4 linked regions of the Drosophila melanogaster genome follow. The protein of the gene in region 4 interacts with the protein of the main gene of each other region in a pairwise test. Each region holds a gene or a part of one and is shown on either strand. Other genes may lie near its edges. The genes, in order: CG13186, CG12206, CG14655 and CG30178.

Region 1 (6,744 bases), about 12 Mb from region 4:
CGCCACGCATGGAAATAAAATGCTGTTTGCCGGCGAAATAGGTTAAAGGTCAGGAGGGCAAAAAGGGGGCAAAGAGAAAAAAACATGATGTTGCCTGACCTTTCCTCCCATCCGCAGCTGCTTAATTAAGGTGTGACAAATGCAATCTGCAGGCCAGTTAGGCGTGCAATCAGCCAAAGGCCAATCCAGCTGGCGCATTAAAAGGGGATTTTACCCGGTTAACACACACACACACACTCAAACACACCATCTACCATCACACACACACACACGACCTTCGACTAGGCGCGATAAAACAAATGCAAAAGCCTAAAATGGCAGCATCTGGCATTTGCCATTTGCCCCATTCGCCTTCGCATCGCTGCTAAATAAATGGCCCTTAGATCCAGCTGCAATTTGTTGCAGCAAAGGGTAAGGGATATGCGATATGCGATATGGGATATGGGACATGGGATAGGTCACATGGGTTATGTGATATTGGATATAAAGATCAATAGATGGGATAACTGAAACGTGTCCGGAAATCGAAGGAGCTGTATGCCTCATCCAGCTGATTGCATTTCAAAAATAACACACAACACATTTCGGTTTGTTTGTGCCATTTCGCTGGCATTCGCCTGCGTGGATTATTTTTACATCAGGCCGTCAGTGGCTTGCATTGCCAAACTGCTTTTGGCCAACGGGCCAACGGGCCAACACCCACTTTTTGGCCGGGAATCGCACAATATCGCACACTCTAATGCAAAATGTTGCGGTCTGTTTGCATTAAAGCTCCCTTCGCACTGTGCCTTTTGGCAATCGTCCTGGCTTGTCCTTGGCGTGTGGTTTCCCCTTCGATATCCCGGTGACAGCTGACACATGCATCCACTTCCACCTCGAGCGAAGGAGGCTGCATGGTCCATGGCCGTTCTCTGGACTGGACATTAACCCATTTCTCCCCGAATAAGTCGTGACACGAAATACGAAGAACGAAAAACGCCTCGCTGACATTTCTTTGTGCCGGTCGCATAAAATCTGTTGAAATCATCGGAATGTCGCGGCAACATTTTCGTTTTCATTTTTATCTTTTTTACTTTTTGGTTATTTCTGGCTGCTGCCTCTGCCCGCCATTTTTTACAGCCATTATATTAATATTAATGACCTGCGCCACGAATGTTGCTAAATATTTTTGAAAGTCGCCTTTGTCTGCCGGTCAAGCGCTAAAAAACGCTCTGTAGTTTCTGGGCGAACATGACGTATGCGTGATATTCAAATTAGTCTTTGCACTGCGTTAGAATCGTGGCTGAAAGTCAGCCACCATAACCAGTCAATCAAAAAACCATCTGTAACCCAGACTAATTTGCATTTGCATCCGGACTCCGGAGCTGTGAAGCTCTGGAGCTCTGGAGCTCCGAACTGTGGAGCTGGGAAAACTCTGGTGAGAATCCACAGAGCCATAGTTTCGCATTTGCACACACGTAATCATCGAAAGGCAACCAAATCCTCTTGTTTTTCCACTGCAACTTTTCACGCTGCCTTTGTACTTTTAATGTTGGCAGAGTATTAGTATTAGTCCCAAGGGCCAAGCATGGAAGCACCCCTCTGGATTCCTGGTATTTGTTATTGTCATCGCTGTTGTTGGCCCACAATGTAATTTGGTTTGGACTTTCACGACTTGTTGGCTTCTTCCCCCTAGCCAGTTTGCAGTGGCAAATTTTCTGTTGCCCTCGGTCGATGGTTTTTCGGTTTACCAATTTATTTATTTCCAGCCACTTTCCTAGCTAGCTAGCTGCCCATTGTGTTGCTGGCACATTGCAATTTTCAAATACATCCGCAATGGATTTGGATGTGGATGTGTTTTCTGCTGCTCTTTTTGGAAATGTTACTCTAGGACTAGGGTTTGGATTAAAATCCAAAGGCGAACAGCAAATGAAAATACCATTTCTTGCACTTTATTTATGTAAAGCAACTAGGGCGTCATGCTGATTTGAAGGCAACATATAGATTGCACATTTATTGTATGCAAATGCAAGCTAAAAGCTTATAGGAAATTGATTTGCTCGTATAGTTTTCACTTTATAGTTTTAAGAGCATTTAAAAGCCGGCTAGCATGTGAGTGCCCTTTGTCTATTGTTTCAAATTCAGCTTTCAATTTAAATTGTTTGGATTACTCGTCCTCTATTGTGTACATTGAAAATGTATTTCGGGGTATTTGTTGTGTCAACACCAAGTGAACGAGATAGTAGCACCCACTACCAACTACACACCACATGTCCCGATTTAGTTGCCCTGATTTCTCAGCCAGACAATAGGACGCGTCGCTAATGTCCCCGTGCAGTAATAATAATATATATATACACATATATATCGTGTGGCTGCTAATGTGGCAGCATTGTATTGGGTTAATTATTCTGGTCGATTTAAGCATTTAACTTTTGAAAGGAGCTGTCAAAGTGTGATGTCAGTACGTCAGTCAACAATACCAGCAATATTACACACACAAAAGCCAAAGAAGAATCGCACTAATCGCCGAGCATTTTGTCCGCGTGGGTGGATGACGTCTTAAAGTTGCTCCAACAGGTCTCTGGCTGATTGTTTACTTTTCACGCCATGTATTAGCCATTGTTATGGTAAAGACTTTATAATAATTCAGACAACAAAGTGCGGCAAATGTTTACATGTCCTCTTTCTCCTCATCCCCGTCGTCAGCGTCCACGCCCACCGCCTTGTCGGGATAGAATTTCTTGAGTATCCTGTTCACATCGGGCACCAGTGCCTCGTAGTCCAGTGGGAACTTATCCCGACGCGGCGGTCCCTTCTCCAAGCCGGACCACAGCAGATGCTCCGAGGTGCGTGCATTTTGCGAGAACCCTATCTCGAAGGCTCCTTCCCGCGGAACCTGGCGTCCGTTTCGATTCTTCACCAGCTGGAACTTGCGCTCCGGTATCCGTTGCGTGAAGAATGTTCCGCACTCGTCGGCCTTGGTCTGGAAAATGGGACACTCGTACGTGTGCTCGATGTAGATCATGGAACGATCCTTGGAGAAATGCTCATCGGAGGACCAGTCCACGTCCTTTTTCTTTTTTGCCGGCTTCTTTGGTGGCATTGTGGTTTTTTTTTTAGATTACTTTCACAATTTCGAAGTGATTTTGTTAATAACCAAAACCCATTTTTATTTCGAATGTTGACAATCCTAGAATTCATAATTGCTTTGATTGATTGCTTTTTGGTTCACTTATGATTCTCTGGTACAAAAGTACTGTGAACCATAAATCTTCTTTCGTACATTTCAAAGTGCGCAACGATGTCCAGAATATTTTTGCTGCGCCTATTTTTAAAATGCATGACAATCCGAAAGAGTCAACAACTTTTGGTGGCACGCATACGAAAAGAATCGCTGTTCGTTTGTTAATTTGGCTACATTGACTGACAACGCAGCCGCCTTTGAAAAAATTACAAAAAACGATATTGTATAGATGCAGGGGAAAATGCTTCCATTGGCTGGGTAGCCACAATTTTGTTCATTATATATAGATTTTTGTTTTGTATATATGCAAAGCTCCAATATAGACGTCAATTTATGGCACTGTCTATATTCATGCAGAAAAGCTACTCAACAAATTCTATGCATAACAATAATATATTGTTGGACACAAAAACATGCATAAACAATGGGAGAAAACATAAAAATCGAGTATTTAAAGCAAGTAAATTATACGATGAGAGCATTTCGACGACTATCAGATATTCTTTACGGATTCCATTGAATGTAGGTTTATCACAAAATACGCTGATATTTATCATAAGCTGGAAGAAGATACCAATACCAAATCAATGGATTGTTTTCATAAAAAAATGAAGAATGAAATCGCAAACCCTATTATTTTCAAGTCTCTTAATAGTGTTTGAAGGACATCTAATTGAACTGATTTTAAGAGCAAACATAGTCTTCTTATATAATTTGTGCATTTTTAATTGGAATCATTTAAATTCTTATTTTGGAGCGTAAACATGATTGCAACACTCTTTTATTTGCTTGATTTTATTGGTTGCGGGATTGCGAGATTGCAAATGGTCATTTATTGCATTTTATTTCTCCATTTCTCGTGGCTGAAGCTGAATGATTTTTTACCTTCAGCTGCCCACACGTGGCCCGCATTTTCCTGATCCCCCCCAACCCCCTCTGACCCAGAGGGTCATGGTTTATTTATGCAATTTTCCAATTTTCCCAACATCGGCCCACAAATAAAACCGAAATGAAAGCATACAAAATGCAGCAAAGAGCTGGGAATTTAAAAAAATAAAAAACCAAAAATGTATATGAAAATGCAATTTGCAAATTAACAACAACGCAATTGTAAACAACAGTGACAATGACGTCACAGTGAAACATACAACAGAAATCTATTCGTTGTGGGGTTAAGAATGCAACTTTTGGCGTTTGCACACATACTAATTATGCGCATAAACTGTGTATTCAAAACTAGGGTCATTTTGAAGCAATATTCAAATGAGCCAAAAAGAATATTTCAACAAATGTATCTGCACACTCGGAGTTTTTTTTCTGCTGTTTTTCCGCTGTGGAAAAATAATCATCGATGCTGCGGCTTCAGTGGGGCAGCGCCAAGAGCAACAAATATTTAAATATATTTATTATTCTGAATAGGCGTGCCAGCGTGTGTATATGTATCCCACATACGCATGTCTGCACATACTTCAGATATATTTTTAAAAAATCAAAACGACAATTTGCTGCTTGCATCATTTTGAAATACAACAGAACTTGAACGTCGACGTCGACGTCGCCAGCGGCAGCGGCAGAGATCGTCGATCGGCGAGCGAAAATTTTCGGCAGCTGCAGGCAGCGCCACTCGATCGTACCGCTTAGTGCCACGCCGTGTCTCAGAGCGCCCAGGCCACGGGCCCCCAAACCGTACCGCTGCGGAAAATCGATCTTGAAAATATATACAATACAAAAAAAAATCTAAAACTCTAGCACCGGATATATTATAGTCTAAGACTACGAGAATTGCCCACTTCATTGGGAAAGTGCGTGAAAATCCGAACATTACCATCGACCATCTACACCATCATCAGCATCCGTCATGCAGGTCTTCGATAACAATATGGTAAGTGAAATCTAGCCTGCGGCAAAAAAGCCATTTGTGGCCATGTTTACGCAGGCCAAATTTATTGTCGCCACGTTTGTGTATACCTTATGGCACACTTAGCCCAGTTAGCTTAACCCAGAAATGCCAATACACAAACTCCAGTCTGGCATAACCACGCCCATTTTGGCCGCAGAAGAAAAGGATATCCTTTGGCGGCAACGAAGGAGCAGAAAGGCAGGAAGTCATGCGGTGTTCAGAACGGGCCGCCAAATTAATTACAAAAATTCACTTAATGGCCACGATCCAAGTGGGTCAACGTACGTGCGAGCCACTAGAAATTGAAAGATGCAAAATGCTAGATGCAAAATGCTAGATGTAAAATTTAAGTGTTCCGCCAGAGACTTGTCAAAATTCTACCGCCTGCCTGGGATTTTAAGTGCAACTTAAATGGATGTAGTAATGTTATAATGACTACATTATAATCAGATTTGCACAATAAAAGTCTTGACATTGAGGCAAACGATTATGAACATTCCACAAGGGATTGGATTTTTTCCAAACGAAATACACATCAAATACATTTTCATCATGAAAATACAGTGCGAGTATTTTTGCAATGCCAGAACTTTCCATTCCATTTGATTCGGCCGCATCATCTAAAAATAAATATCCATATCTTTATTAATAATAAAAATAAGCTTGGAGACATATACCGATTTCTTGGCAGCTGAGCGACCCCATTAAGTACATAAATCGTACATAAATACACATAAATATAGATATATCTGAACCGGCAGCAAGTGCATATATGTATATGTACATACATAGATCGGATCGAAATTGTCGCCCATATGTAGGCCACTTACAGAATGGCGGCATTAGTCACATATAATACTCACGTATCTGTGGCAAACTAAGTCCCAAAATTGGTGGCAAGGTCGCCGGATGACGAAAGCAATCCGAAATGACATGGTCGATTTCCTTTTAATATTCCAGACAGCACTAGGAGGTATAAATAGATCCGGCGATTTTACAAATCCGGCGAAGGAAAAATAGTCGAAGCAACCGAAATGGAATTGCTTTATTTTCAGGCCGAATAAATCAATTGGCTTCTGTATTTATGCAGATGCCACCATTTGATTATTTCGCACTGTCGTTGATTTATGGCCAATGGCCAAAAGGGGCTGCCAAGGGTGCCCTCTTGCCAGCCATTTTTCCCACACACACAACCGACCGATTTTCCAGTGGCTTTCCCACACTTTTTCGAGAGTATTGTGCACGTCATGTGTAATTGCTATACGTCAATGTCAATGTGTGGGTTAGCGTCTGATAAATGCAAGCATATGTATATGTTGGTGTAAGTGCTTGTGGTCGTTTCCGGATCCTGTGGCTGCAATTGGTTAGCTTTAATGAAATGCCCGATGATATATTGTTGGGCAAATATGTGCTCGACCATTTCATCAGCCATTGAATTCGAACATTGAGCAGAAGTATTATCGATTTCAACGAGCACCAAATCGGAAGTCCTGAGTCAATAAATTGTATGGATTGCAAATGGCAAAAGATTTTCATCAGCTTTTCTCGATTGGCGGGCAACAGATTGCCGCTCAGAGTTTTCCAGCGAATTCCCGACTAATCCAAATAAAACTTCACA
Region 2 (8,589 bases), on a different chromosome or scaffold from region 4:
TGCTTAAACTTAGACATGATTGTTCACAAAATTATATTGGTAGATGTGTGTATGTATGTATGTATGTATGTATGTATGTATGTGTGTGCTCAAACTCAAATTAGCTAAATGATATTTTAATGACACCACTCCAAATGCAAAAAAACTCGTATCTGAAACAAAAGGCAAAAGGAATCGGCTGCGGCCCATAAAATATAATTCGATCTGTCTGCTCAGTATATCCGATTGTTGTTACTGTTGTTGTTGTTGTTGTTGCATAATTAACGCATTAGTGGCTCTTTATTATGATAATTTGTGTGTTTCTTGAACAAATTATGCAAGCTGTTTTTAGCCAAATAATTTTTGGTATCTTTCATTTTTTTTTATTTTAGCAATAATTATACATTGATTTTGGTTTCAAGGTTGGCTTTGCTAATTTGACTAAGAAAAATCACCAAACAAAAACGTGTGAGTCGCCAAAGAAGTTGACATTTAATTCGTTGAGAAGGCAGTCAAATATATTTGATTGAGTCTTGGATGAAATATTGATGAACTCCCTTGAAGTTCATGGGGGTGACAGCCCTATGATAGAGTTGTCGTCGTATTTTATATAAATTCACGAAGGTTGCTTAATGCCACAGAGGTTTTGGAATCTACACAAATGGTAATAAATGTAATGTAAGATAATAGAAAATGTACCGATACTTGAAATTATTGAACTACCATCAAAGTTTTAACTGCCCGCGTGGCACTTAGCCAATCAGATCGAACACCAATTATTAGGTAGATGTTGTAATAGTTGCTCAATGTCCAGGGTTAACTCGATACCGCCTGTCTGGTAAATTGATTTCGCAAAACTCACATTAAAAAGGCGTTTAAAAGCGATATACAATAGGCCAGAGATCAACCCGATGACAGGGCAAAAAAAAAAAATCGAGGGTATTTCAGAAGTGCGAGCGTGGCCAATTCTGGCACAATAAAACTGCGATTCGACGCGCTTCCCCTCCACCAAAAAATAGGTCAATTAATTTTGGTTTTCGTTTTGTTTTTTTTTTTTGGAACCCCCCCTCGTTTAGAAGAGAACTTTCCACAAAAGAGAAAACCGAAATCAAAAGGTTTGAGAAATAAGACAACGAGACAAAAAGACACTTGCAATTAGTCAGGTGGCGGATCATTTAAGGCAAACTTTATATGTATAACTTATCTAGCCGACTATCTGGCTTTGTACTTCCGTCAGCATTTTAGCTTTCTTTTGCCTTTTCGGATTTGATATCCATATAGAAATGAAGGGCGTATGCGACATATTAAGCCGCTTAATGGCGAATCAAGCAACAACAAGCTCCGCAAATAGACAGCGGCAGTCAGGTGTTAATTGTCTTTCGTGAAAGAAATTTCTCAATAATAATCGTAATGAAATAAAAAAAAAAAATATATATAAAAAAAAGGCGGCAATGAATCACCGAAATGTCTGGATTCACTTTCACACAGGCCAACAAACGATCCCTCACATGCAATATATATGTATGTATTTAAATATACATATAAATCAGCATTGCATAATGACGCCCAACTGCAATACTATACTTGTATCTTTAGTTTCGAATGCATCTCCAGTGTAGGTGTGAAAAAGTCAGCGACCCAAAGGCAAAAGTTAAACAACAAATACGAAAATGTTCAAAAATACACACACACAAAAAAAAAAAGAAATCCATACCGAAAAAACTTTCTCAATGAATAACCCCCACATGCAATTGAATGAGTGTTTGTGTGAATCATATTCAAAGTTGGCGCATAATATTGTAGTTTTGTGGTATTCAAATATTTATTCGAATTTCTCATGCGCTAATTTAATACAAACGAAACTGAAAATATTTTTAAATTCGATAAATAATTTGATTTTGATTTAAGGCGGAATTGACATTCTGACATTCTTACATTTTTTTTTTTTTTTAAATTTTGAGTGCCAATGGTGAATGCAATGACTTTCATTGCTGAAATTGTTCACTTAAATTGCAATTGCAATTAATGAATTCGCTTAATGTATCCATTCAACGAATACATTGCACATTTTCCATGCCTTTTTTTTATTGTTGAATGGGCTTTGTTTCGCTGTTTTTCTCATTGGAAAAGACTATCTCAAACAAAGTATTCAACCTGATTTCGTTGCTTACTCTTATTAGCAAATCTCACCTTGACATTGGGCTGTTGCAGTTGCAAGAAGGTGGCTACTCCATTGCGCACACGATTCTTGACGCCCCGTACGGTTCCCTTGGCGGATTTAATTGTAGAATTGCCGGCGAGCTTGCCCGCCGTTCGAATGTCACGAAAGCCAACAAAATCCTCACCCGGCTGCTCATCCGTAAAGTGCTGCGCTTCGTATTCCGTCGAGGAATTGGAACCAAAACTCCGGAAATTCTCGTGTTCGCGCACATGGAATGTGTAATAGCCATCCGTTTCGAATTGCAATGGTCTGCCATTGATTTTGGTGACCAGAGGACCGGACGCTCGTTCCCTGAATCGAATATCCCGCAGCAGGGTAGTGGGCAGCAGGCCACCAGAGTGCAGGGAATCGCAGCTTAGCGATGAGTTGCTGCTCTCATCGCATTCCTCGCTGTCATCGGTGAGGCTATATGCTCGCTTCGGAACGGGACTCGGCGTCTCCAGCGGGCTGTGCTTATGGTCCGCCTCCTCGTTGACCATCAGCCGCGTGGTCTGCAGATGAAGCTCCAGTTGCGGTGATCTCACCTGTTGCGGCTGCTGCTGCTGCTGCGGATGATTCTCCAGATCGCTGCCCGTGCCACTGTCCAAGGTCTCGCAGGGCGAGTACTGGCCACTGGTGTCCACCAAATAGCACATGTGCTGCTGCATCTCCTCCACGCCCTCGTTCAGCTTCACCACACTTATCTGCTTGCCCAGTGTTCGCTGCTGACCCTGGCTTTCGATTTGAATCTTCACCGTATTGTTGTGTTGCAATGTTGCCGCTGTGTCCGCTGCTGTTGCTGCTGCTTGACTGGCGGCAATTTCACCATTGCAGCTGATTATGGTCGGTGATGTTGCTGTTGCTGCTGCTGCTGTTGCTGCTGATGCTGCTGCTTCTGCTGATGCTGTTGCACCGGCAATTTCTCCGCCAATGCGCAACAGTAACTGCGGATAGATTTTGTTGGTCTCTGGTGCTGCTGTCGACTTTGCTGCAGTGTCGTAACTAGTTTCCAAATTATCTTTGGCTGTTGCTGCTGTGTCGCCAAATGCCAGCAACATGCCAGCAGCCTGTGACTTGAGCGACATTTCAGTGTTGCTGTTGCTCTTGGCAGTTGGTGCTACTTGTTTTGTTGCGGCTTCTGCTTCGGCAGTTGCGGTTGTTGTTGCTGGTGGTGGTGTTGCCGTTGCCACTTCTGGCGATTCAATGATTATGGAAATACCGCGCATTGGCTCCAATCGCGACACATTGCTAGTAATTGCCGCCATGGTTCTGCAGCATCTGGTTGTCGATATCCGATTTCAGATATCCAGTGCCTAGATCTCGTGCCTCCAAGCTGATGCAATCAAGTGCCGGCTAATGATGTTGCTCCTGTGCGTTCCACTTGCAGCTGCCTCTGCCTCTGCCTCTGTCTCTGCCGTTGACCGTTGCCAAGTGCTTTACAGTTAGAATGCCGCCTGCATACGATTGAAGTAATTGCCGCAGTTGCCTCTGCAAGAAATGTATTTATGCCAATGAAATAAAGTTTTATTTATTTTCGACTGAAATTTTGACGAGCCGTTGAGATTCTAATAGTCTAAAAAATGTCTAAATATGACCCCAAAGCTAACCAAGATAGGTATTTTCAATTTCTCCAAGTGTGTTAGACGCCGCCACACGAGCTTGACATTTAAGTTGAAGATGATGCTGAATAAATGTTAAAGGCTTTACCAGCATACTAAAAATACAGATGGGAAACCAGACAAAAAAAAAAATAATAATAATCATAATAATGATAAACACGAAACACCGCAAAAAGCAGAAAGAACTGGCTAAAGAATGTCGTAAGCAAAAGGAATATAAAATTCTGAATACCCTGTAATTTTTGCAGCTAATCATTTCTTTTCTATACATATTTGTAAACTAAGCAATTAATTGAAACAATTTAAATATAAACAAAAGATAGTTATTGTAACGAAATCAACTTCAGATATCATTTCGTTATTAATGTAGCTACATATGTATGTATGTAGCAAGCCGTATCGATTAGTGCAGCAACTTTTTCGATTCCGACAGTGAATGTTCTTCAAACTTAAGAACGAGTCGGAATTTACATTTAAATTGCTGAGGAGGAACTTGAAATATTGGGCGCGCACAGCCCGCGGCATTTTTGACTGCGGTTTTTTACGATTTTTTTTTTTCTCTTTGGAATCTGGAAACTGGTTACACTTGAACCTGGTATTTGTGTTTTTTTTTTCGTTTGTTGTTTGGAAATATTTACCCGTTGGTATTGCTGTTGTTGTTGTTGCTGCTGCTGGCCTGCATTCGCCGCTTATTGCACACAATTTTCATTTGATAGCATACCAAACAAACACACACACAAAAATAAAACAAAAATTGAAAAAATCGAAAAAATCAAAAAATTCAGAGATTTTTTATTGGACTATATTTTTTCATATATTGCACACACGCACGCAGTCTGTTTTTTTCCTTTAGATTTTCATGTTGCTGTGCTTACTATCAATCTTTGATCTTTCGTTGGGATTCTTCAGTTACTATATGTAATATATATGTATATATATGCACATGTATATCGGCTTGAAAACACGACTTTTGAGAACTCGCCGCGCGTACAATCCATTCAAAATCGCGCTGGCAACTGAAGCCGCAGCAACAAAGTCGCTTTGGGTTGGCGTGTTTCGCCAGGGATTGTTTTTTTTTTTTTTTTTTTTTTACCACTTCTTCTTCTTCGCATAGTTTCCTCTCTGTCTGCCGCCCATTCGCCGACTCTTTCTCAAGCCAGTTGTTGTTGAGGTTTTTTTAATTTTTGCTTTCAAGAAACTCACAAAAAAAAAGCAGCAGCCGCTGAAATTACCTAAAACAAAAATAAAAGAGCTTCAAGGCGATGGTTTAAATACACTGTCAGCAGATTTATTAGCTTATTAAGTACGCAATTAAGTCAGATTTCAAGTATTGCCCTAATAATTAATAATATTTACTTGCTACACATTTGCTTAATTATTTTTCAATTATATTGAAAATATATTATATTTATTATTAAATGCATAGAAATAGGTTGCATTTATTTGACATAGCCTGCATGTTGCACGATGAGTGCAAAAGTCAACTTACCCCAAAGGAAAAAGCGGGCAACAAATATGCGCCGCTGAGAATTTGTTTACGTGCGCATGCGCAGCCGCTGTCGACGGCGCTGCCTCTGCCGCAGTCGCTGCCCATGTCGACGTCGGCACTTGTCCGTCGCTTTTATTATTGTTATTGTTATTGCTGGTCTTGTTGCTGCCGCTGCTGTTGCTGCTGCTGTTGCTGGCGGCGCAGTACTCGTTTGTTGCCAAAGTTAATTGTTTGGTGCCACAGCTGCACAGTGGGACATCGAGAGTGCGCGGGGCACAGTGGGCAGTGGCAATTGGATGGCTGAATGGAATGTGGCAAGGCCTCAAACTGGTTTTCAGTTTTTAGGGGCTCAGGTGCGGCGATAACGCGATTGAGACTTCAACACGAGAGCAGGAATTCCGATTCCGCTGGCAATCAAAACAGCTTGCCGATCAAATTGGTTCAGTTCGAACCAAGAAATATATATATGTATATATATATATAATAAACATATGCACTTCTGGATCTCTGAAGCTGAAAAAGCTAACGAGTTGACCCCATGCTGATTCTAGTTTCAAACGAATCCTCCTCTTTGGACGCATTGGTCGCATTGTCGCCCAGAAATTTCCGCCTTAGAAATATGTACATATGTACAACTTAAGCATAAACAACAACTTTCCATCAAGCGACTTCGTCGCTCCGGCTGAACAATTGCCAAATGGATTTTAGCTTTTAATTATATTTAATACCAAAGTGTTTATGCAAAGGAAAGAAAAAAAAAGAAAAAAACCGAAAGAAAGACGCCTCGAATTTGTGTGTGCAATCAACGGAATGTAAAGCTGCACTTGCAGTATGCAGAAAGTACGAGTGCAGCAGCCACATGCAACAGGCGCTGCAGCTTGTAATTTACCGCTAATTCGATGCAGTGAGACGTCCAACGATGACGACCACTAATGTATGGTATGCATGTACGTATGTATGTACTTATGTATGTTTGTGCTTGCCACCGCCACCCGTACCGCCCCCAGTGGTAGAGGTACCGCTCCGCCCAGCACGATGGCCGGTCACTTGGCCAGTTTGTTTCCGCCTGTTGCGCTCCGCTGAAGTCACAAGGGCTGCTGCAGGCGTTGGCCAATTCAGATTACCGTTGCACATGCGCACACACACTCACACACTTTGCTGCACTGTGAGAAAGGAGTGACACTTGTCCATCGATTGCCAATGAAAAAAAAATATTTTTTAAAGAATTTTGTCGCCTTTCGTTACATTTGTATATGTTTTACAACTTATTTATCTACATTTAACAATTTAATTCCATTTTTTTTTCACTGTGTATTACTTCTAGTCAGTGAAAAGAAACTAGCCAAGCTTCACTAATCAATGGAGAAGTTTTTATGAATTCAGGATTTGTAAAGGAGTCGTAGGCTAATTGAAAAGTGAAAGAAAAAAAATAATCCCAATTTTTTGTGGCCAATTAAAATACCATATGAACGTAGGCTTTTTTTTTTTATTATTTATTGTCATTTAGTTGCAATTGTTGTTATGACTTAACAGTTGCAAGTTTAACATAAGTTAATAATCATACGTTGAATTATCTATATCATAGTTTCATGTGTTTCAATGCAAATGAAAGAATTTTACATCAATTAGAAGTTTCTTGTGAGCTAGCAAAATAAGGATAACAAATTCTGTAATAATCATCGAATTTTTTTTTTTTTAGCAATATGATTTTAATTGTTTATCGTAAATATATTACTATTCATTTTCAAGTTTTTGCAAACTGCGTGTGTTCCATCTGCGTATTCTTTGCGGGTAATAGAAGGTCGCCCATATATCGCGTCTCTTTCGTTTTGGTTTAAAACTCGTTTCGTAAGGGTTCCTTTATTGTCAACATCAATAACATTAAATACATGTATAATATATGTTTTCCTTTCGATCTAAATAGATGTGTATAATATATATCGATGTATATATATGTATAAGTATACCATAATGAAATTGATAACTTATAATACAGTGCAATCCATTGCTACATGGAGGAGTGAATTTCTTTTTCAAGGGTTTTTAATTTTTGATCGATTTTAAAAATGCCCAGAAGTGTCCAGAATTGTGTTTCAAAACGAATTCACGCGACCATTAGCTGCATTTCAAACACACATAAATAAATGTATATATATATAATAATGAGTCGTTTAACTTTAAGCTGCCATCTCCAGTTATGTATATGTATATCTTTATAGGGTTCATTTTCCACCTATTTGAACGGTTGCGTTTGCGATTTGTTAATGTTTTTCTTTAATGTAAATGTATATGTAAATGTATATGTATATGTATATATATATAACTACAGATATACCTATAGGCCATAAGTACAATGGAGTGTGGCGATGATAACGATTACCAACAAGTAATTTTATTCGTATAACTTTCGATTAGAGCAAAACATAACTCATTTCCAATATACATACATATCTCCGCCATCAAATATCTAAAACACTGAGACTTTAAAGTAGTTTTTTTAGGTTTTAAGCATAGTTTCGAATGTGATATGATTTCGTGATTCACACAGAAAGCCGTCGAGCTGAGATCACAACAGAGAATGAACTGTGCTTGATATAGTCACTGTATAGTTATAGTTATATATCTTCTATATAGGTGGTGCCCTCCCCGATGTCCCTTGCATGATATGGTCAAATTAAAGAATTAAGTCTAGAATATAGCATAGTTAGTCGAATATAGTTATCATACATATATATATCGTATATAGTCAGCAAATTGTGTTTGTGGCAAATTGTACGTTTTCTCTTTGATAGCGAAATCGGATATGTAGACCCTATAAGGGTGGCCATATAACAAACTCTAAACTCTCTCTGCCCTTTTTCGACAAAAAAAAAAAAAAAAACCAAAACCAAACCAAAGAAGAAAGGCAATGGAAAACAATAATCGCGTATATATGTATATGGCCACATGCTAATGAAGTTATGCGGAAATATTTCCATTGATTTCGCCCATTTTTTTTAATGCATTTCTATAGCTTTCTGCTTGAATGAAACCGCGCATCCAGCGTCGAGTTTTACCTAGTATTGCTATTTTCCTATTTTCATTTTCCTTGTTGTGGTTGCTTTGCATTATAGTTTTTCGGTTTTGTTTTTTTTTTTTTTTGTTTTATCTTCAAACAGTCTTTGGGACGACCATATAGGAGTGTTTTGATATCGACGCCGCATCTAACATCGGTGAGTGCTTACTTATTGTCCATATTTACATCGAGATTCAATTATATATATTTCATCATTCGTATCATATTCGGTTTGGGTTCGGTCAAG
Region 3 (8,915 bases), on a different chromosome or scaffold from region 4:
ATTTCTAGATTTGGCCTCTTGATGGACTAGAAGCGCTACCAAAACTGGGGCTTGAGTTGAATTACCTGTTGGAAGACACAATGCCACCCACGATCAACAATTCGGCGGTAAACAGTGCCGCCGAAAAGCGACCCCAGCGGCAAACGGAGCGCAAGTAAGTGAACAGATCCCTAAACAGACGCCAGATACTCAGACTGATGTGTACCTTGCAGATCCGAGATCATTTGCCGCGTGAAGTATGGAAACAACCTGCCGGATATACCATTTGATCTGAAGTTTCTGCAGTACCCCTTCGACAGCCACCGCTTCGTGCAGTACAACCCAACGTCGCTAGAGCGTAACTTCAAGTATGACGTGCTGACGGAACACGATTTGGGTGTCACGGTGGACCTGATTAACCGGGAGCTCTATCAGGCCGACTCCATGACGCTGCTGGACCCCGCCGATGAAAAACTGCTGGAGGAGGAGACTCTGACGCCCACAGACTCTGTGCGTTCGCGCCAGCATTCGAGGACGGTGTCATGGTTGCGCAAATCCGAGTACATCTCCACCGAGCAGACGCGCTTCCAGCCCCAGAACCTGGAGAACATCGAGGCCAAGGTCGGTTACAACGTCAAGAAGTCGCTTCGGGAGGAGACTCTCTACCTGGACCGCGAAGCCCAGATCAAAGCCATCGAGAAGACCTTCAGCGACACCAAGAGCGAAATTACCAAGCACTATTCCAAGCCCAATGTGGTGCCAGTGGAGGTACTGCCTATCTTCCCCGACTTCACCAACTGGAAGTTCCCGTGCGCCCAGGTCATATTTGACAGTGATCCCGCTCCTGCGGGCAAGAACGTGCCCGCCCAGCTGGAGGAGATGTCGCAGGCCATGATTCGTGGTGTGATGGACGAGAGCGGCGAACAGTTTGTCGCCTACTTCCTGCCCACAGAGCAGACGCTGGAGAAACGCCGTACAGACTTCATCAATGGCGAGCTGTACAAGGAGGAGGAGGAGTACGAGTACAAGATCGCTCGAGAGTACAACTGGAACGTGAAGACCAAAGCTTCCAAGGGCTACGAAGAAAACTACTTCTTCGTGATGCGTCAGGACGGCATCTACTACAACGAGCTAGAAACCCGTGTGCGCCTTAACAAGCGTCGCGTTAAGGTTGGCCAGCAACCCAACAACACCAAGCTGGTAAGTATATTTATGCGCATACATCTATAGCGAGCTTTACTTTGTATTATTTCTACCAGGTTGTCAAGCATCGTCCATTGGACAGCATGGAGCATCGTATGCAGCGCTATCGCGAGCGCCAGCTAGAAGTTCCTGGCGAGGAGGAGGAGATCGTGGAAGAAGTGAGGGAAGAGGAGCAAATGCAAATCATTGGCGAGACGGAGAAGACGAGCGAGGACGCAGCTGTTGGCGCACAGGCAGCATCTGGAGCGGACTCACCCGCCCAGGTAGCCCGCGATCGACAGTCTCGTTCTCGGAGTCGAACTCGCAGCGGGTCCAGTTCAGGATCTGGATCTGGCTCCGGCTCTCGGGCCAGCAGCCGCTCAAAGTCTGGTTCTCGGTCTGGTAGCGGCTCCAGATCACGCACAAATTCGCCGGCAGGATCCCAGAAATCCGGATCCAGATCGAGATCGGTATCACGTTCCCGATCCCGTTCCAAGTCCGGCTCTCGGTCGCGTTCTAGGTCGAGATCCAAGTCCGGTTCCCGATCACGTTCGGGCTCCAGATCTGGCTCTGGGTCGCGATCGCCCAGCCGGTCTCGCAGTGGCTCGCCTTCTGGTTCAGGATCCAGCTCTGGAAGCGCCTCAGATGAATGATTAATTACAAAAAACGGCGTTCATAATAAATAAGTTTATAATCAACCAAGTACATTTGAAAACTGAACTAACTCGATTTAATATCATTTTCGCCTCAACTCAGCGCTCGGGTTCGTTGCCCAGAATAGTTTTAAATAAAATCGGCAGTTTAACATAATTTATATTAGATGTTGTTGTTGTATTGCAAACAAGTCGGGTCCTAGTCGATTTACACTTGGCTGAGATAAAACAACTAAGATTCAAATAATATCCTCATAAGAAGATGTAATTAAGACGTTTTTCTTAGGGGGTGCTTAGGAATTGATTAGATCGCCTTTGGGGAAGTGCAAACAATGTAAAATGATATAAAAGGGTATAAATTAAGTGGATATATGCATCTTCGTTCCAACTACGTGGCGTCCATCAAAAAGCGCTGGAAGACTTCGCCATCGGAACTAGGTAGCTCTGTTTGTTGCGGTGAGTAGATTCTCAAGTTCTGGAGTTGCTGCAGCGGAGAGCCATTCCCGCTGAAGTGTACCACCGCAACCGGCTGTAGGGATATGAGCTGTCCCTCCTCCCGCGGCTCCACACCACAGATGCCCAGCTTTTGGCACTGCTCAACGACAATGTCGTCGATTGACTGCGAAAGCAGTGCCTCCTGCTCAGGATCCACAATGGAGCTGCTGTTGATGGCAGCTATTTCGGCGCTCGCTGGTGAAGGCTGAGTATGCGAGTCGTTGCCCTCCAGGAACGCCTTTATCAGCTGCTCCGGTGTCTGGGCCTCCTCGGTGGGACATCGATGGGTCCTTTGACTGACCTTGTACCTGAACGTCTTTTGGCAGAGCTCGCACTTGTAGGGCATCACTCCCGTGTGGATGCGCGTGTGGACAAGGAAAGAGACTCGCTGCCGGAAACACTTGCCTGTGGACGAGTCCGAAATACGAAAAGGTTAGACATGGAGTGACCCGGAAAAGAAGGTATACCTCTCCTTCATTTAAAGTAAATAGGGCAAATCGCAATGGAGTATGCTCATTTATAAGCTGGCTAACAAAATAAGGGGCGGCTAATTAAGGGGTTTGATCGATACTCACCGCAGACTTCGCACTTGAAGGGCTTTTCGCCGCTGTGAATCCTCTGGTGGTTATGCAGCGTAGACAGTTCCTTGAAGGCGCGTCCACAAACCCCGCAGACATGGGGCTTTACCTCGCTGTGGTAGAGCAAATGCTTGTGGTACGACTGCTGGAAGGTGAAGGTCCTGGCGCAGATCTCGCATGTGTACGGCATCTCGCCGGTGTGGAGCCGCTTGTGCTTCTTCAGAAAGTACTTGGTGGTGAAGGACTTGCTGCACACATCGCACTCCCACAGCTTCGGGGTGGCCGTGCCCGACTCCGGCGAACTGGGGGACTGCTGGAGCATGCTCAGCGCCCCACTCAGCGCGTATGGCTGGGATGCGGTGCACGTGGAGTTATTTCCGTTGCCAAGGGCTCCAGGCTCTGTGTGTCGAATGCGATCGCAAATGCTCAGCTTGGGCGTGGCAGTAACTGCACTGGTGGTAGAAGCGGGTGTAGGACTGGGATTAGGATTTGGATTGGGATTGGAGCAGGGCACGCCCATCATGTGCACTACTTTCAGGTGGATTCGAAGGGAGCCCTTCATTCGGAACGTCTTGGAGCAGAGATGGCACTTGTAGGGCTCCTGGTCCTGTATAAAGCAATAATCGGAATTTCACTTATATTTATCAATTCATCAATATGCCCTCATGGCCAAATATTCCATTACATTACCGTCTGTCTCTCAGTTTCAAATTTATGCACAAAAATCATTCACTTTCATTCACTATATCACAAAGTTGCCATGGTTTTAAATTGATCAAAAACAAATTAATATCTATCATATATATACATAGTCATATGAACAGTTGAAAAATTAATTGAAAATAATGGGAACGATATACGTACATACATCAGTTGTTTTTAAAATATAAGGGTATATAGATTTCTTTCTTGTTGTTGTTGATTTTAATTACGTCAAACTTTTGTTTCAGATTCAATGTAAATGGTCTAGCTTTTTAAGTATGATTTTTTTTTGCTGCCAGTGAGCATAGAAAAAAAAAATCAAAATCGATATAAGAATATGCGAAAGTGCATTACGAAACTCTTTAGATAATAGCACTTAATATATGTACATAGCCAATAGTTACCGGTTCCTTCTGTTGGGGTTCCTTTTGCTTGGGTTCTCCCTCCGCATTTTCGTGGACTAAGCGGACGTGCATGTCCCTCAGCTCGGTATTCCGGAAACTGAACTCGCAAATGTCGCAGTGGGCGGGCGGGGTGGTCCGCACAGGCGGTGGGGTTGGGACGACGGGCTTGGACCTGGTTCGCTTGGCCCTCCGTTTGGGAGGAGCTGCGGCAAGGAAGCCCCGGGACGAGGCGGGTTGGCCATTCGCTGGACTCTCGTTTCCCTCCTGAGCCATCAGACTTGTGTGCGAGAACAGGTGGATGGTGAGCTTGTCCAGCCCCAGGAAGAGCTCCTTGCAGTTGGCAAAGGGACAGGCCAGTGGGCCGTTGGCCGCCTTGATCAGCCTCTGCTGCAGTGCGTCAATACTGCCGAAACTGGGCACCGCGCAGAGCGGACACAGCACCGAGGTGGAACACATTTCGCCAGTGCACTCAATCGAATCTTATGCAAATGCTTCACCTCCTATTGGGATTATCCTCCTGTTCGGTCTGTGATCATCTATTCAGGAGTCCATTCCCAGACTGCCTAGTCTTTCTGCTTTCAAAATTTTCTAAAAATATCAGCAAGTGAAGATTTTTGAAAACTTTGGGCCCAGCAATCTGACTTCTCGGCACCGATGCCAGCTAACGAAATAATGAAAAATAATGAAATGCCCGGCGCGGATCGTCGAATCGTCAAGAAGACTTTCGGAAACACTCGCAGCACCGAAATCCCATCTCTCGAACAAGGCAGTCTCTTTTCTCCGTGTCTCTGGGTAGCTCATTTCGAAATATAGCTCTGAGCACGGCTATATACTATATGTATGTAGAATTATTTCTGGCCGATATATGTTGCACTGGCGGCCATATAGCCTTCGTTCTAGTCTTTGTAACGCACGATGCGCAGGAGCAATTCGCTGAGATGACCACATGCGATTTGCGGGACTTATCTAGAGATCTATCATTATCGCCAGATTGGTTTAATAATTGGCTTTTCCGCCAATATCCAATTGGAATATGGTTGGTTACTGCAATTGTCGCTCCATTTTTTAAGCACTCCATAAAAAGTAAACACATTAATATGTACTCTTATTGGAGATTTCTTCTTTCGATTTTAGTTTCGGACCAGTGAAAATCATTCGTTTCATTTTCGTAAATAAGAACTGAGAAAATATTATTATTATATATATTTCTTTATTAGGAAAATACGAAGATTGAGTATTTCAGATTGAATTAGCATATCCGTCTAAATCTTAATGCTGTAATGAGCTTACTTGAGATCTGATCAAAACCAATACAAAACCCACACCAAAGGTGGTAGCTAATATACATATTTTGTGTAATACTTTTGTAGAGTATTTACTATTCAGCGATTTAAACAAGCAATCGCCTAGACACACACATTTGTCCGCCTATGTGTATGTGCACCGAGCTATACCCCCACTGAATCGCTGTGTGCTATTTTTATGGCCGCGATGCTCTCTTGTTTTGACCCGCTTGGGCAACGCATTTTATTCGCTGTTTCGTTTAGATGGTCAATTTGTAAACACTGCGATGCCAACACGTGAAGATACGAGCATACGGGTTGAGATCATCGGATATCGAACGGAATAATAAATAAATATATTTTAGACTATTATTTTTTCTTCGGCAAGGGCAACTCAAGCGATATGATGCTCAGTCCGGAGTGGGAGGTTGTGGAGGATGTGTCATCCTTAAGGGAGCTCATGTCGGAGACGGAGGACCGGGCACTAGCCCCGTCGCAGGAGAACTTCTTGCCCTTAACATTGAGGTAGGAGGCGGTGTCCTGACCCTGCGAGGACTTGCCCGAGGAGCTGCTGTTCCAGGACACGCGGCTGCACGTGCGCTTCAGGTGCATCGGCAACTTGATTCCTTTTCGCAAGAGGATTCCAATTATATCCGTGCCGCTCTCGTCGCTGTTCGCCAGATCGGTGATCATGTTCAGCGCCTTGGTGTTACGCGCCTCCAGCTCCTGTAGAGACAGATCCCGCTCGAACTGCGCCAGGTACTCCTCGCTAAAGGGCCGCGCCTTGATCTCCCGCAACTGTGTCCGGATCTCTCGATTGGCCCTGTCCAGCTTCATTCGCTGGTCATCTAGTTCGCGCTCGATCTTCTCCAGAACTGCAGAGTGCTCCGCCCGACTAGCCTTCGCCTTCTCTATTTTGGAAATCAGGTCTTCCTCCTCAGCTCGCTGGGCTGCGTGCTTCTGCTGGTAGTGCTGTGCCTTGCACCTGAGAACCTTCAGTTTTTCCAGCTCGCGGCAGTAGGCCGCCTCAAGTTCCTTCAGCTCCAGTTCGGCCCGCTCGCGATCTAGAAATTAGAAGTATGGAAAAAATCTACCAATTTAACATTGAATTACACAATTCTAAGCCACCCGGCTTGTAGACATGGCTAGAATATGACCGCTTAATGTGCTATTATAGTTACTGAAAGTCGGAACGGACGGACGGAAATGGCCAGATCGACTCAGGTATGGATCTTGATCAAGAATATCTATTCTTTATAGAGCCAGAAAACCTAATTTGTTCCTATTCAATATCTGTATCTGTGAGTGTTATTAAAATTCAAAATTAGAGCAATGTTGCTAATACTAGTAACCCTTTCCACTCTGAATGGTCATTTATAACTCACCCTTTGAGTTTTCGTCCACAGATCGGAATGTTTTTCGGTAGTTATCGTTCGATTTGTCGAACTGGCGCAGTGTGTTTTCCAGGGCGACCACTTCCTTCTCAGCCTTGAGAACCTTTTTGTTGAGGGCATCGCCCTCGTCGGCCAGCATCTGCCGTTCCTGGGCGCTCACCACCTTCAGCTGTGTGCTGGTCATGATGGAGCCGTCCTCGTTTTTGCCTAGCAATTGGGCGGTAAGTTCAAAGCGCGCCTTCATCGCCTCAATCTGCTTCTTCCGCTCCCCGAGGTCGGCTCGCAGGGTGCTTAGTTCCTCGTTAAGATGCTTCTTCTTGAGGAGGAGCACATCCTCTTGGCTGCGAAGCTCAACGGTGCGATCTTTGATGGCGCGCCGGAAGGCAAGGCGGTGCTGCTCTAGGTCGTAGGTGCCCTGCTCGCAGCCTCCGATGCCAACCTCTAGGTCGCTGCAGCGCATCTTGACCATGTTGAGGTCGACTATGAGCTCGGAATTCTCGTATCGAATCTGGCGCAGTCTCTTGACGGTGCCCTCGCAGTACACCTGGGCCTCTTTAATCTTGAACCTGACCATTTCGAGCTCCTTCTCGTCGGCGTTGTACTGGACGACCAGGTTGTTCATGTTATAGTTTAGCTTCTTATTCTGCGCCTCCGTGGTGGCGATGAGGCGTTGCAACTTTTCATACTCCTGCTCCAGAGTGTTAAGCCGGGCCATGTTTGTGGCCTCTACCTCGGGGTCATCTGCCAGACCCTTGATCTCGGCGAGACGCCGCTCCGCCTCCAAGCACTTAAAGGACAGGCTGTAATGGATCTCCGTCTGCCGCTTGAGTTCGTTATTGACCTGCTGCTGATTGCGATTGATCGCTGCCAGGTTGGAGTTGAGCGAGTCGTTCTGCACCTTCAAGACCTTCTCCTCGTCCTGCAGCTCGATGACCTGCCTCTGGGTGCGGTACAACATCTCGTTGACCTTCTCCTGCTCCTTGTCCAGGTTTCGCAGAGCCGTCTCCTCCGCCTGCATCATCTCCTCCAGAATTTGCAGCCGCTGCTCCGCATTGAGGGCCTTGTTCTGTACAGACTTCAGCCGAGCGTTAACCTTCTCCATCACCGAAGCGAAGTTCTCCAGCTCCTTGGCCTTCTCATCGCGCTTTTTCATCTGACTACGGTTATCCATGCGCTGCAGGTGAACCCGGTTCGAAAGGTTCTCCAGTTCCCGACGCAGTCCGTCGATCTCGCGCTCCTTCAGTAATGTGGCATCAATCAGGATCTGGATTTGGTTTTTCATGTCGGAGCTTTCCTCGTTGAGGGACTCGATCGCGAGCTCCACCTGGCGGTTGTTCTCGATGACCTCGGTTAGCTGGTTGTCGTACTCCTTGTAGGTCTGAGCCGTCTGCTGGGCTTTCTGGGCCAGCTCCGCACACTCTATCTCGCTGCGCTGAATGTCGTGCTCTCGCTGGGTCATCTGGTTCACGGCGCTCTTCCACGTCTCCACCATCTGGCGGCGTTCCGCGTGGGCAGACCTGTACAGACAAGCGGTTCGCTCCAGATTCTTCTCCAGCGTCATTTGCTCGTCATAGAGGAGCACCACCTGCTTGCGCCGCTTGTCGATGTCCGCCTGCAAGAGCTGACGCTTAATGTTCAGCTCCCGTGCCTTTTGCTGGTCATCGAGGTAGTACTTTTCGATTAGCTGGTAGCCCTTGTTTCCGTCTTCCATGGCCTCTGTCCACTCCACCAAGGTAGTCTTAGCCGACTTGATGCGGGAAGTCAGCTCATCTATCTCGCGCTTGCTCTGGCAAATCTTTCCTGGTCATAGGACAAACAAAAGGGAAATTGCACATGTATCATCAAATGATATATAATAGATGGTTAGTGTGCTTAATAACCAGCAAATTGGTTAGTTGCACATTTTGGTTCTTGGGGTACATTTGACTTACGCTCAGTGACTTTGACATATTCAGTGTACTCCTCCAGCTCCTTGTTATTCTTCCGCAGATCCTCCTTGATCTTGTTGCGCTCCAAGATCACAAGCTGGACGTTGTGCGCCTCCTTGATAACATCATCCTTCAGGGAGCTGTACAGTGTCTAGGTGGTACTAAGAAATGACCAACAGATCGAGCATATAGCCATATATATAGCATACCAGGTTCTGCTGAATAGTGCCCTCAATGTTGCGGGTATGTCGTTCCACCGCCATCTCGCGCTCATCCAGCGAGTTCATGTGCTGCTGCAGCTCCAGCTTCAACGCCCG
Region 4 (6,678 bases):
AGCACCGAAGTACTGGAGTATAGGTAGCCGGAAAAATACAGATTCGGATTGGCCTCGTGGGCCTTGCACGGCACTATCCACGAGAAACTGAAAGTAGAGGGATTCACCTCCTGGGTGAGCCATGGATCTGTGATTAACTGGTGCATGGTGCACCGGTACTTGGGATCCTTATTCAGCATGGAGCTCAACAGACGGCTCAATTGCTCGGACACAGCTTTCGGTATTTGAATCTCGGCCTTCAATGTCTCCTCCACATCGATGAATGGATTTTCGAAAAACATCAGAACGTAAAGCGTCACACCAAGGGCCCAAATCTCCAGCTCGGGACCCACGTATCTGTTTCCGGCCAGAACCTCCGGACTGCAGTACTCCGTCGTGCCGTAGAACGTGGAGAAGAATTTTCCCTCCTCCATGAAGGTCGCCGATCCGAAGTCAATCAGCTTTATGGTGAAGTTCTGGTCAATTATAATGTTCTCGTCCTTGATGTCCCGATGCAGTATCTTCTGTTCGTGCAGATAGTTGACGGCATCGGCCACCTGACGAAAAATGTAGCTTCCCAGCTTTTCGTCCATCAGGGGCCGCCGCTCTATGAACGTCCATAGATCCATTCCGGATCCGTGCTTCTCCATGACCAGCTGGTAGAATAGATCATTTTCGAAAACATCGAGAACGGACACAATGTTCTTGTGGTTCAGGGTCTGCAGCAGGTGGATCTCGATAGGAACTTCCTTGCAGTCGCGGCTCTTAACCATAAACTGAGAGCAGAGCTTCTCCTTGAGAATAAACTTGGTGATCACCAGCAGGCGGTCGCTGTTCCGGAAAGCCATATTCACATACCCATAGGCTCCTCTTCCGATCTGGCGGATGGACGTGTAGTATTTGCTGTAGTCGCCCAGGTACAATTCGTCCTCGTACTTGGACACCAAGGACAGAGAATTGGGTCTGCTGGAGTTCTGGGCAGCGGTGGTCTTTATCACCTGGCCCAGCGACTGCTCAACAGTGCTGGCCATGCTGTTGAATGTGGACGTTAGGTTTGCATAGTTGTACTTCTCACCGTCCAGCCGAGTGCTGGGGTTGCGGCACACCCAGATGCAGTACACCCGGTTGGAGCAGGGCAGTATCTGGAGGAGCACGGAGTAGACTACCTCTATGACGGAGCCATCGGCGTGAATGGCCTCCCCCACAAAGCTTCCGTTGATGGAACTAAGCAGTCTGGTGGCGGGATTGCTGCCGGAGGCATCACAGGTCTCCGTGGACGCGGACTTCGCCTTGTCAAGGGACGACTCATTCACCTGCGACTGCGATCCTACCTCAAACTCGTCAGCGGGGAAACTGTTTGAGGCATTTACAGGTGTTAGAATGTCATCTATTGTACAATCATCTGGCTGGCGGAGGTCGCAGAATAGACCACTGCTGTTCTCCAGATTGCAGCTTAGGTGGGCATCGCCCACCGAAGACTGTTCGTTGTTGGGCGCCGTCCTGTTAGTCGAGCTCTTCTTGCAGGATTGCAGCGAGGAGTCGTTGTCCACGACGAGGGGATCCGTGTCCGGCTCCCAGTCGTTACTGGTTATCGAGGTGTTCGAAACATTCGGACTCTTCTCCTCGCGAGAGTCCTTGCCGAAATTGGGTAGGATCGCCGATATATGCATGTTCATTATCTTGTCCTGACCATATCCGAACATTAGCAGCGAGAAAGGCTGGTTGCACATCAGTATGTTGCCTATGTCATCTACCACAATCAGGCCACTAAGATTCTGGAACACCCAGACGGTGATATTTAGACCGGTTTTTCCCGAATGGGAATACCCCGCAGAAGCATCCTCGTCCAGGGCTATTAGCAAGCACAGGGGAAACTTTACGTTATCCGTAGTTCGACCAGTAGCTCTCTGCTTCCGCAGGCTCTTGGGGATCTCACGGCTATCCGGATCGGGCAGCTTTATAAACGGGATAAGGGTGACAATGCTGACACCCACCACGCTTTCGACGGATTCATAAAAGAATATGGTGGCCGTGGTGGAGTCAACGGATGTTATCACTCCGGATCTATCGGTGCTGATGTGGCAAATATGCCTCTCCACAGGCTCCGCGACGGCTATGTGTCGGCCATCGCTGCTGATCTGCCGGATCCAGAGAGAGACCAGGATCTTGCCGCCCGACTTGGTCTTCATCTCGATGACCTTTCCACTTAGCAGGACGACCCGGCCCTCATCGCCTTCGATCTGCATCTCCGCCAGGGAGGAGATGTGGCTCTCTGTCTTGCCGTTAAGCAGGTCGAAGAATCCCTTGTTCCTCAACTCCTGCGACGTGTAGCCCAGCAGCTGGCAGGCCTTGTTGTTCACTATAAAAATTTGCCCTGTGTTCGCGTCGATTGTGAATATCGCCTTGTTCGGGTTGATCACCTTTGAGGAGTGCAGATTGGGGGGGGGCATGCTGAAGGAGCTGGCGTCCATCATGTTCAGCATGCCGGACGAGTTCTGGCGACTCTGACTGTGGCTGCCCATAATGGGGTCATCTGGGAATTACACGATTTTTTGTAAATAATTTAGTACCGCTCTTGAGTGTACATCTATATAGCTTTACCATTAGCACATCGGTTTCTGGAGCACTGGGCATTCGAACTACTCAGCTTACCAGCGGCTTGGTCTGTCACGTCGCCCTGATCCTCCATTTAAGCGTCGTATGTTTTCCAAGTCCCAGCGGTTCCAACTCGAGGCCTACAGCTACAACCAAATGAGCGCACCGTAAACATTGGGAACTCTGCTCGTAGAAAATCAATTGAATGGCGCATGCGAAAAGGGGAATTCCCCAGTGGGTCGAACGGAACGCAGACACGTTGAATTGGGCTGGCTTTTGTGGGGTTTCCTTTTGCGTTGAGGTGTCTTTAAATCACTGTATTCGAAAGGTTGAAAATTACACTTGGTTTTATGTACTTTAATGCGAACAAGTTATATATATTTGAATGTCCCGCTAACCCTTAGCCTGCAGCCCTGGCGCCGTCATCGATATAATGGCTCTGGGTATCGATTGCTGCCTAGAACGCACTTACTTACATATAAACTGGGCCTAGCTACGTGTGGAAAAATATCGGAGAGAGCAATACAAAACGTATTGTTCTTCCAAACAGGAAGGTTTTTTTTCGTTTTCCACAAAGTATTCAGTGCAGTGCACACTCGAATATAGTTCGAATACGGTGAAAATGCCACGCATATCCGAAATAGCCGCTTCCGTGGGGCTGCTCCTGCTTATCGGAGTGATCAGTGTGGATGGCCTTGTGAAAGAGGGGGATTACCAAAACTCCCTTTATCAACAGAATCTCGAGTCGAACTCCGCAACAGGCGCAACGGCTTCGTTTCCATTCCTGATGCCCAACGTTTCGCCCCAGACCGTAAGTCCAGGTTCCTGAAAAACGCCATACATATACATCATGGAGTTCGCTCCATATGGATGAACAGATTCGCCCAGCTGCAGCTGTGCGCATACAATTCCAATCAGATTAGAAAAGTCCTCGATATAGGCTCTGGTTTTTCCCGTATCTTCCGCGCGGGGAAAACCCATAAGAGTACTGTGCAAATTTTTCCATATGTTCAGTTGTACCCGAATACACACAATTCGCCACCCACATGTAAGGCCCTGAAACCGAAACCTGTAGATTGCACTTCTCGAACCTGCGCCGTAGATACGAATTTGTTTTTACGAGGGTGGCGAAAAAGGGCAAACGGCCCACTGAAGGCCATACTCCCATTTGAATAATACTTGTTGACTTATCCAATATGCCTGTTCTCTCTAACAAAACTAACAAATATATATATGTGTACATATATAGCCCGATCTGTACTTGTGCACGCCCATCAAGGTCGACCCAACTACCACCTACTATATTGGTACGTCCTTTCGAATGAGATTCATTCCTTAAATACTTCAACTAACCTTTCTATCTTAAATAGTTGGCTTCAATCCTAATGCCACGATGAACACGGCCCACCATATGCTGCTCTACGGATGCGGAGAGCCCGGAACCTCGAAGACCACCTGGTGAGTTGCAAGTGATGTTTTCAGACTAGTAAATAACACGCACATTTTTGCTCACAGGAACTGTGGCGAGATGAACCGAGCTTCCCAAGAAGAGTCTGCCAGTCCTTGCGGACCCCACTCCAATTCCCAGGTATTAAAAGAAAAAGAAATGTCCAAATAGGCCCCCAGATAGACACCACACATTTATTGGGCCGACAAATTTCGGGGACTCGGGACTACAGTTTGGCAGGCTGCGCAAATGGGTTGACCGTTCTCGATCCAGAATTCCCGTGCGCTGATCCTTTTGCGGCAGTGGTGGCACTTAAAGCACTTGGCATGCCACTTGGTGCTCAGCGCGACCACGGCTCGACGATCGATTGGCTTCTCACAGCCTGCGCAGCGGGACGAAAACAGTTCCCGGAAGTGCGCCTTGCAGAACAGGTATCCGTTGACTTCAAAGAAGCTCGCCGAGACCAGCGACTTGCTGCAGCTCACGCACCGGAAACACTTTTCGTGCCACTTGCGCTCCGCAGCAGCCACGCCGCGCTCTAGGATCGGAGTCCGGCAGGCGGAGCACCGAGCGGCATGCTTGTCCAGATAGCACTCGCTGCAGACCACGTCGTCGTCCACCGCGAAAAACAGTTTAGGATCAACCACCAGGCCGCACTCCTTGCAGGTGAAGTGGTGCGGATGGTACGTCTTACCCAAGCTGCAAACTGCCCGTGGCCAAATCTTCTCGTTGCATCTGCAGCAAATTGAAGCGGACATACTAGGCAGCTTTCTGATAGACAAATTATAAATTTTAAGGAAAAATCGGAAAGATAGTTTTAAAGTCAAATTTTGTCTTGTTCTTGACACAAAAATCGAACTCATATATAGTAACATTTCAAAACGATTGATGTGGCATATGAATAAAGATCGAAATGCGCGGATAATTAGGAGTTAACTGGCTAAGTTTTAATAGGTCAATCCTTGACAGTCAGCACAGTTTAATAAGAGTTTTGAACCTGTTTATCGAGTTTTTCCTTTAACTAACTGCCAAATGTGCTAATAGACAATTTCACCTACTGGACTAACACTTACCTCTCAACAGATCGTATACGCTTGGGCCAGAGACGCCCAAAAGTTAAATCTGCCCGAGGGAGTGGGTTTCAAGGTGGGCAAGAACTCGCCAATCAAGTACCTTGTGCTGCAAGTTCACTACGCGCACATTGATAAGTTCAAAGGTAAGTAATAGATTGCGTTCAATATAAGGAAATTTAAATGTGTTTTTCTTCAGATGGCTCCACTGATGATTCTGGTGTGTTTTTGGATTACACAGAAGAGCCGTAAGTTCCTTTCGTTTAATATGCGTGATTTTCAAAATAATCAGTACCATCCTGGCAGTCGGAAAAAGCTGGCTGGCACTCTGCTGCTGGGCACTGACGGACAGATTCCGGCGATGAAGACGGAGCACCTGGAAACGGCCTGCGAGGTGAACGAGCAGAAGGTGCTGCATCCTTTTGCGTACCGGGTGCACACCCACGGCCTGGGAAAGGTCGTTTCCGGCTACCGGGTGAGGACAAACAGCGACGGCGAACAGGAGTGGCTGCAGCTGGGCAAGAGAGATCCCCTCACGCCCCAGATGTTCTATAACACCAGCAACACAGACCCCATAATCGAGGGAGATAAGATCGCCGTGAGGTGTACTATGCAGAGCACTCGCCATCGGACTACCAAAATAGGGTAAGTACGCAGTGATTTGAAACGCAGCTCTAGCACCACTCCTAATCCAACTATTTATTGATGACAGTCCCACGAACGAGGACGAGATGTGCAACTTCTATCTCATGTACTACGTGGATCACGGGGAGACACTAAACATGAAGTTCTGCTTCAGCCAGGGCGCCCCCTACTACTTCTGGTCCAATCCCGACTCCGGCCTACACAATATCCCACATATCGAGGCGAGCACCTTGTAATCAGCGCTCGTCGAGAGCCAGGAAATCGGCCGCGGAAAGAGAAACGAATGTATACTACCTTACTGTCTGGATTATTTTATCGTGTGCAACAACTAATGATGGTTTAGCCTCATTCTGTATCCCCTTTTGTTGGCCACCAATGATTTATATAACATATTTGTGTAACGTGTAAATAAACATATGTAGATAATTCGCGAGAGCCGCTGGAGATCCTATTGAATGGATTTGGGAGCACTTAGCTGATCGCCGCAAGGTTAATCTCCTTCCCATTCGTCGCGCATAGCAGGAACCAGCGATCAGCGATCATTCCACTACGCAGTAAATGAGACTGCTCCGACGTAAATATTTTCAATGCAAAGCATTTATTCTCGCGTTTTTTGTATGTATATAGAATTTATGGAATATATGGTATTATCTGCATACATATACATATTTAATATATAATTTGGTGTAAAATTATAAACGTACAATTAGATTAGTTATAAATTACACAAACTTAAATATCTCTCACATTTTATAATAACTTGCAAACTCGTATTTGTTAGTGTTAAACTCTAAATGACTACCGGTTGGCTGAGGCGGCAAGTCCTCAAATGTGTAGGCTAGCAGAGCTCCGTTGTTATCGTGTGCGGCGTAGTTGAGATCATTGTGTGTTTCAATTACACTTCCGGTGTAGTCTTGTTGCGCGTATGTACAAGTGCTCCCG

What was found.
Region 1: the proteins of CG30178 (region 4) and CG13186 interact in a two-hybrid assay, tested with the Drosophila melanogaster proteins (one large-scale study listed by BioGRID).
Region 2: the proteins of CG30178 (region 4) and CG12206 interact in a two-hybrid assay, tested with the Drosophila melanogaster proteins (one large-scale study listed by BioGRID).
Region 3: the proteins of CG30178 (region 4) and CG14655 interact in a two-hybrid assay, tested with the Drosophila melanogaster proteins (one large-scale study listed by BioGRID).

The regions. Positions count from the first base shown.
Region 1 is NT_033778.4:12,077,659-12,084,402, reverse strand, and holds CG13186 (uncharacterized protein), read right to left. Parts: upstream 3,128-6,744; 5' UTR 3,086-3,127; coding exon 2,654-3,085; 3' UTR 2,346-2,653; downstream 1-2,345. Other genes in the region: CG8888 (uncharacterized protein), read left to right, coding at 5,085-5,108.
Region 2 is NC_004354.4:3,469,705-3,478,293, forward strand, and holds the start of CG12206 (uncharacterized protein), read right to left. Parts: upstream 4,821-8,589; 5' UTR 4,437-4,820; intron 3,747-4,436; exon of another isoform or gene 3,668-3,746; 5' UTR 3,445-3,667; coding exon 2,170-3,444; intron 1-2,169.
Region 3 is NT_033777.3:4,775,626-4,784,540, forward strand, and holds CG14655 (uncharacterized protein), read right to left. Parts: upstream 4,678-8,915; 5' UTR 4,450-4,677; coding exon 3,994-4,449; intron 3,495-3,993; coding exon 2,885-3,494; intron 2,715-2,884; coding exon 2,203-2,714; 3' UTR 1,872-2,202; downstream 1-1,871. Other genes in the region: atms (antimeros), read left to right, coding at 81-154, 213-1,179, 1,239-1,814; Ccdc39 (Coiled-coil domain containing protein 39), read right to left, coding at 5,646-6,340, 6,662-8,470, 8,602-8,749, 8,808-8,915.
Region 4 is NT_033778.4:23,984,821-23,991,498, reverse strand, and holds CG30178 (uncharacterized protein), read right to left. Parts: upstream 4,885-6,678; 5' UTR 4,780-4,884; coding exon 4,216-4,779; 3' UTR 4,191-4,215; downstream 1-4,190. Other genes in the region: Pask (PAS kinase), read right to left, coding at 1-2,512, 2,581-2,668; Phm (Peptidylglycine-alpha-hydroxylating monooxygenase), read left to right, coding at 3,197-3,385, 3,824-3,881, 3,945-4,032, 4,090-4,162, 5,105-5,237, 5,291-5,339, 5,398-5,736, 5,804-5,972; Sox14 (Sox box protein 14), read right to left, coding at 6,480-6,678.